Lonchura striata: one gene and its partner. The protein of the gene in region 1 interacts with the protein of each later gene in a biochemical or structural test. Links are inferred from orthologs where the notes say so. Each region holds a gene or a part of one and is shown on either strand. Other genes may lie near its edges.

Region 1 (3,743 bases):
AGCTGCTTCATTACCAGATGCCTAAAACTAGGTGAGGTAAATCCCACCCCAAATACCAGAGCTAATGAACTGACAGGCATGAGTCATGTGCGAGATTTATTTCAAGAAGTTGCATTATGTTTACACAGTCATTAAAAAAAAATACACAAAACTGTCTTTCTTCCCAAAACAAGATATATGGATCTTCATTTTATGCACAGGTCAGGCCTTCTTTCCTTAACCCTTTCTTCTTCTCTCAGTAACTCCTGAACTCAGTAACTACCTTTAACCACATGTAAGAGAGGAAGAGTGCTCTCACATGAAGTATTCCTAAAATATTTAGGAAAATGGGATGGATTGAGGAGGAGAAACTCATAATCCGGATGGAAATGTGAATTTTACCATCCACTCCATTTTTCTACTGAACAACCTCCATCCACCTGCTGCTTGCCCCCAAATCTTCTCCAAGGCTGCCTAAAGGCACCAAAAGGGAGAGACATTTACACATGGGACACAAGGACAACCATGGATGGGGGGAATTTTGTACCTGCAGAGCCTGTCTGTGGGAACACAGGGCACAGATCTCCAAGAAAGCTGCCTCAATCAGACCCGTTGCTCAGGGAACAACTTGTTTGCTCATGCAGCTCTTGTACGTGCATTTCCCCCTCTGGTTTTTTGTTTCTGTTTTCCATCCCCACTGTGGTGCTCCATGACCTCACCATTCCCAGAAAACTGAGCCAAGCCCCCAGAAAATAGAATCAAACACCAGAGCAGCTGAAAACCTTTTAAATCACGTTCAAACATCAAAACCCCGACGGTCCGAACTGTCTGTAGAATATTTCATGAAATATTTGCACAGTAAAAATGATATGGAAATGTTCCAGCCCACGCTTTGCTTTGCTGTCTTGTGCCCCTGTTCCTCCATCCATGAACTCAAGAGAACATTTTCCTACCACGCTGTAACACAGCAAAGATTAGGGAGTTTAGAACATAGACACGCTTGAACCCCAAAAAGCAAATATGATTTAAATAAATAACCAAATCACAGGCTGCGCCGTGGCAGTAATAATAGTGTTTTCAAATTAGGAACTGCTGGACTCCAGTTGCACACGTATTTATTTATTATTAGTGCTATATGTCAACTGCCTTTTCCATCTCTGCTGGAGGCGGGCAGGTTTGCCCACAGCAGCTGGGACTGACCCTCCCAAGGTAACACAGTGTCACCGGACTCTTGTGAGGTTTCAAACGTGTGAGGGAAGAAACTGGGTTATTTTTGAAATACGTGATTTGTCCTATTGTTGGAAAAAGAGGCTGTCTTACAGGAGCATCCTGCCTTATTCCCTGAATCCCATACACATCCCAATAATGTCCATCACTGTATTGTCAGTACTTGAACTGATTCTCTTGCTCTTGCCTTTTCTGAAGGGAAAGCCAACAGGTAGATTGTCTATGTGAGACATGACCCACGGATCCAGTTAGCTGTCTTTAAATAAATATTTTCCTTTTGTCAAAAAAAATGGCAAGAATCGCCCAAAATTAAAGAACCTCCCATTAAAAGGATTTCCTGAGCAAGTTTATTTAACATAACCCATCAAAACAACTCGTAAGGCTTAACCTGGAGCTAGCCGCAGGTTTAACAAGCTTGTGACCTCCAACACAACATCTTCATACCCCTGTCCAGTATTTTACAAGCCCCTGTGTACACACAGAGCCTTCCCCTGGAGCTCTCCCATCTTAATACCTGTGGATTTGGCACACTACCTAAAAGTGGTTAAAGACAAAACCTCCGCGTCTGGCCACACTAAACCCTCCTGAAACCGGAGCCGGTTCTGAGGCAGCCGAGCAGCGGCAGGGGCACAGGACTGGGGAGGGAACCGGGGAAAGGATCAGGGAAAGGACCCGAGAAGAGACTGGGGAAGGGACCGGGGAGGGAGCGGAGAGGGACCCGGGAAAGGAGCATGGGACAGGACCCGGGAAAGAGACACGGGACAGGACCCGGGAAAAGGACACGGGACAGGACCCGGGAAAGAGACACGGGACAGGACCCGGGAAAGGGACACGGGAGAGAGACCCGGGAAAGAGACACGGGAGAGAGACCCGGGAAAGGGACACGGGACAGGACTCGGGAAAGGGACACGGGACAGGACCCGGGAAAGGGACACGGGAGAGAGACCCGGGAAAGGGACACGGGACAGGACCCGGGAAAGGGACACGGGAGAGAGACCCGGGAAAGGAACACGGGACAGGACTCGGGAAAGGGACACGGGACAGGACCCGGGAAAGGGACCGGAGAGTGGATCGGGGGAGGGGACCCAGGGAAGGGGCCGGAGAGGGGACCGGGAAAGGGACCGGGGAGGGGACTGAGGAAGAGACCCTGGCAGGGCCCGGGGAGGGGAGCCGAGGAGGAACCGGGGAGGAACCGGGGAAGGAACGGGGGAAGTGCCCATGGAAGGGCCGGGGAGCGGCTCCGCAGAGGGGCCCGTGCCCCTCCCCGGGCGCGGCCCCGCTGACCCCGGCCCGGCGCCGCCCGCGCGGGGCCCCGCGGGCCGGGAGAGCCGGGGCCGCCGCTGCCCTCCCGGCCGTGCCGCTCCAATCTCGGCCGCCGCCGGGCCGGGCCGGGGCTGAAGGTGACCCGGGAGCGCTCCGGGCCGCGCTGCCCGCGGGCCCCGCGCAGGTACAAAGGGCACGGCGGGCCCGGGCCCGCCCCGCCGCCGCCCGCAGCCCCCCAGCCCTCCCGGCCGGGCCCCGACTCACTCTCGCCGCGGCCGCGGCCGCACCAGGCTCCCAGCACCACGGCCACGGCCAGCGCCGCCGCGGCCGCCGCCGCTCTCGGTCCCATCCCGCGCCGCTGCCGCCGCCCGGCGCGAATCAGAGCCCGCGGGGCGGGCGCGGGGGCCGGGCCCGGCCGAGCATCGCCGCGGAGCCCCCGCGGAGCCCCTTTATAGCGCCGGGCCCCTCCCTGCCCGCGGAGTCGGCCCCGGCCCGGCGGCCCCTCGCAGCGCAGGCCGGGCTGGCGGCGCCCCGGCCGGTAAACAAGGGGCTGCCCCCGTCAGCTGCGAGCCCGGCGGGGCGGCCGCAAGAGGCGGCGCGGAGCGCGGGCACGGGACGGGACGGGCCGGGGGAGGAGCGGCGGCGGCGTCCAGGCACCCTTCATCACCCAGCCTCCCTTCATCATCCAGCCTCCCTTCATCATCCAGGCACCCTTCATCACCCAGCCGCCCTTCATCATCCAGCCTCCCTTCATCATCCAGGCACCCTTCATCATCCAGGCACCCTTCATCATCCAGCCTCCCTTCATCATCCAGGCACCCTTCATCATCCAGGCACCCTTCATCATCCAGCCGCCCTTCATCATCCAGCCGCCCTTCATCACCCACCCATCACCCACCCCTCCTCTGTCCGTCCGTCCTTCTGCCCGTCCGCCCACCCACCCATCCAGCCGGCTGTGAGCCCCGTTGGTGCTGCCCGAGGAGCCGCAGTGGCCTCGGCAGCGTGCAGCGAGTGAAACGCAGGAGTTCAGCAGCCTGACCTCGCTGTTTGTTCAAATGGAAGGAGAGCATGGTTAGGTGAGAGATTAGGGAAAATATTTTTACTGGGAGGGTGGGCAGGCCCTGGCACAGGGTGCCCACCCTGGATCCCTGGCAGTGCCCAAGGCCAGGCTGGACAGGGCTGGGAGCAGCCTGGGACAGTGAAGGTGTCCCTGCCATGGCAGGGCTGGCACTGGATGGGCTTTGAGGTCCTTCCCAACCCAAACCATTCTGGGA
Region 2 (3,743 bases), on another chromosome or scaffold:
GTTGATCTTTGGCGTTCCCTTCCTATCTAGGCTGGATCTATCTGTACTGAAAGTTTCTTATGTAAGCATGTGGGGCTGTGATGCCAGCCTACTGTGAGTAGGTGCCTTCTTGCCTCTGGAGAAATCTCAGGCAGAATCTGATACCACCTGCATTCACCTTTTCACTAAATAGTAACCTGGACAGGAGACAGCTTCTGCTTTGGTGAGGCACCAACACTCTGAGGCTGGACCCACAAAACGCAAGATCAGGGTGAATGCTGGCTCACAGGAAGGCGGGACAAAGCAGCTTGGCGGTGGGAAGGGAGCGCTGAACGAGGCTGGGAAGTGACGGCCCCATGGACTGGGGCAGGACAGGACAGGACGGGCAGCAGTGATGCTGACAGACTGAAGAGCAACGCTCAGCGCTGCATCAAGTGGAGATGGCCGAGGGGAGCGCGGTGCCGAGGAGAGGCTAGGCGGCTGGTGAGCACGGTGAGCAGCGAGCAGGCAGCAGAGTGGCACGTGTGTCCAAGAGGCTGAGGTGACACATTGAAGGAGACTGGAGAGATTATTCGAGGACCTGAACAGGGAGAGCGAGTGGTGAGAACAGAGCGAGAACAGAGCATGGTTGGAAACAACGGGGACCGGAGTGTGGGCTGATAAGAAAAGCATTCCTTTATATACAGTAAAGAAGAGCCACGGAGGAAGAGAAAGCAAGAGCAAAGAAGGTATCATGTTACATTTCAAAATATATTCAGCTCGGGCGCTCAGCCACAATACTCCCATTAGTGTACATGCATCTGTCTAGGAAGAAAAGCCCAGAGATTTCTCCCTCTTCTCCTTGGACTCAATTGCCTTTTATAGAGTTGACCACTTTCTTATGAGAGGTGTTTTTGCATCTAGTGAAGTAAATATTCCTCTCCTCACAGAGTGTGACGGCTCTTATTGGAAGTCAATACGTTTTAAACCAGTAGCTCTTAGGGAAGCGTGCAGTTTTGCTTCCCTTAAAAGAGCTTTTCCACAGTCCGAGTTATTTGCAAGCTACTTGCAAATCGGATGGCTCGGAGCTACCGTGGTGCAATAGCGAAGGTCCCAGCGCACAGAAGTTCGCAGCAGCAGTCTGTAGGAGTGCTAGTGGCAGCCTGCGGATCCCGGGAGGGCAGGGTGCTTTGGAGTACGGAGGAGCTCTGAAGAGCCCACCGTACTGTCGGCACACACCGGGAGCCTGCTCCGTGCTGTCGGGAGCGAAGGAAGGGGATCTGGGGGACTTGCCCTGCGCAGTTTTGCGGGGAAAAAGGTGAGAACAGGACCGACGACTTTAAAGAAAAAGTCCAAGCACAAATGCCTCGCGTGTGCAGATGCTCTGTTGGTTTTATTTTAAAGAAAAAACAGCCTTTCCCAAGAAAAGCACGCGCCGGTGCTACCTGCGGGTGAGCTTTTGTTCGAGGGCAGGACACCCGCCACAGCTCCACGACGTGTCGCCTCCAGCGCCGCTCGCCCCGGGACGGGGGAGGGCGGGCAGGGGCGCCGCCGCCACACAGCCCGCGGCCGCCGGGGCTCCCGGCCGCCCCCTGCCCTCGGCGGGGCGCGGGCCGGGGCTGCGGCTGCGTGCGGCGGGGGCGGGAGCGGGGCGGGAGCGGGGCGGGGCCCGCCGGGAGTCAGCTGGGCGCGAGGGGAGAACGCGGCGGCGGCGGGCGCCGTTAGCACCGGAGCCGGCGGCGCGGACAGGCAGGCAGAAGTTTTCTCCGCAGACCCCTCCCGCAGCCTGGGGACGCCTTGCGGAGGCGCGAACGTCCCCGTTCGCGTTGGGTGTGTTTTGCTTTTTTTTTTTTTTCTTTCTTTTTTTTTTTTTTTTTTTACTTAATTGCTTTTTTTTTTTAATTGTATGGTTTTAAATATTTTTTCTGTTTTAATTTTTTCTTTTGTTATTGTTGGTTTTAAGGCGCGTGGCTCCGAGAGATCGCTCTCCCCCGCCCGCGCCCCACTCCACCCCTCCGCCCCGAGGATCCCCCTCCCCGCCCGCGCTCCCGTCCCCGCCGCGCACGACCCTTCCCCCGACCCCCTGCGCCCGCCCCGAACTTGGCGGGTGCGCGGCGCCCGGCGGGCACGGTGCCGGCCGCCTGCCCGCCCAGCAGGTAAGGGGCCGGGGGGCGGCGGGGGCGCGCAGGGGGGCGGCGGCCGCCGCCCCTGGGGAGCCGCAGCGGGGTGAGGCCGGGCCGGGGTGGGTGAGGGCTCGCCGGCTTCTTGGTAGCGGAGGCCGGTGGGAGGAGGAGGAGGAGAGCAAACTTCCTTTTCCTGGGGCCGCCGGCGAGCCCCCCCCTCCCAGTTCCCGTGGGGAGCGCCCCCCGCCCGGCGCGGAGCCCCCGGGGCCGGCCGGGGTTCGCCGGCGGCCTCGGGGTTCGGAGGATCGGCCCTTTTTCCCGTCTCGGGGCTTCCTTGCCGCGTTTTGTTCGCTCGCTGCTGCGCGCCTCGCCCCGGCGGTGCCGGGAGCCGGGCTTTCCCGTCGCCCCGCGCTGGAGGAGAGCGAAGACCTGCCCCGCCAACTGCTGGTGGTGCCGCTGAAACTCCCCGGTTTTCCCCCTGCTCCGTTTGGGGTTTGCGGGAGGGCTGGCGGATGGGCAGTTCGCAGAAATGCCACCCCGGGGTGCTGCCGCCTTCCTGCTCCTCCGCGGTGGGGATGTGCGGCGGCAGGCGGCCGTGTGCCCGCCGGAGAGCGGCCCTGCCGAGCTCCCGGCCGTGCCGACAGCCCCTCGTTAGCCCGGGAGACCCTCCCTGCGGGAAGCGCGGAGCTTCTCCTGCCCCAGCTCCCCGCCGGGGAGAGGCGGGTACCCGTGGCTCTCCTTGTATAACCGCGGCGCTGCAAGCCGGGGCTGAAACTGTGGCATCTTTATAAGAACAGTTTGCAGTTAATTGGTTTGGCAGATGAACTCCTGCACAATCCTCTTGCCCGCTTCTGTTGCTCAAGTGCCAGCGCCCCCTCCCACCCCTTTCCCCCTTTTCCCCGCTTTCCTTTGAAGCGTCGCATAACTCTGTATTGCCAGCAGGATGGAAAGTGCTGATTCAGCAGCCAGGAGCCCCACTCCATCTGAAGTGGTGGTCTGCCTGAAATGCTCCCATTTGTTGAAATGGGAACATGTGTTGCTGGTATGTCAAAGCAGCATTGATCATGTCGTCTAAAACAGACTCAAATAATGTGGTTTGCTTTTCTCTTCACCAAGACAGAATGAATTTGGGGTTGGGGCAAAGCAGGAGGGGGCAGAATAGAAGGGATGTGGGCATCTGCCACCTTCAGTTATGCTTCTAAGGGGCAGCTGAAATTGTTTTGCCTCTTAAAGGTGCATGTGTGTTTTAACAGAGATGTTGTGGGATGCATTAACACTCCAGCTCCATCTATTCTTGCGTTCTGAGGCTAGTAGTTGTACTTACAGCTCTAGAAAGGTACAGAGAAGGGCAACAAAGCTAATCCTAGGATTAAAACGTGTGCGTTACGAGGACAGGTTAAAAAAAAAAAAGCACCACAAACACATGGAGATTAGAAAATCTGCTTGGAAAAGAGGAAATATGCTTGAAACTTTAGATGAGAGCTCTGGCTGTGCTTCATGATGCTTTTGGGGCTGAAGCAGGGTGTGGGAGTTAAGCAGGATGCTCTTCCCATGCTATTAGTCTTCCTCCAGGGCTTAACCTCTCAGAGCAGCATAAGGAGGAGAGCTGTTCCAGAGCTGTATTCCTCTGGCTATCTTTGTACAGGTATACGTTAATATCAG

Evidence for each region.
Region 2: the proteins of INSR (region 1) and GRB10 form a complex in vitro, tested with the Homo sapiens proteins (5 studies listed by BioGRID and IntAct). The link is inferred for Lonchura striata from reciprocal best matches to the Homo sapiens genes INSR and GRB10.

The regions. Positions count from the first base shown.
Region 1 is NC_134630.1:3,807,456-3,811,198, forward strand, and holds the start of INSR (insulin receptor), read right to left. Parts: upstream 2,831-3,743; 5' UTR 2,819-2,830; coding exon 2,734-2,818; intron 1-2,733. UniProt on the Homo sapiens protein: Receptor tyrosine kinase which mediates the pleiotropic actions of insulin.
Region 2 is NC_134603.1:69,037,938-69,041,680, forward strand, and holds the start of GRB10 (growth factor receptor-bound protein 10), read left to right. Parts: upstream 1-1,610; 5' UTR 1,611-1,788; intron 1,789-2,022; exon of another isoform or gene 2,023-2,114; intron 2,115-3,743.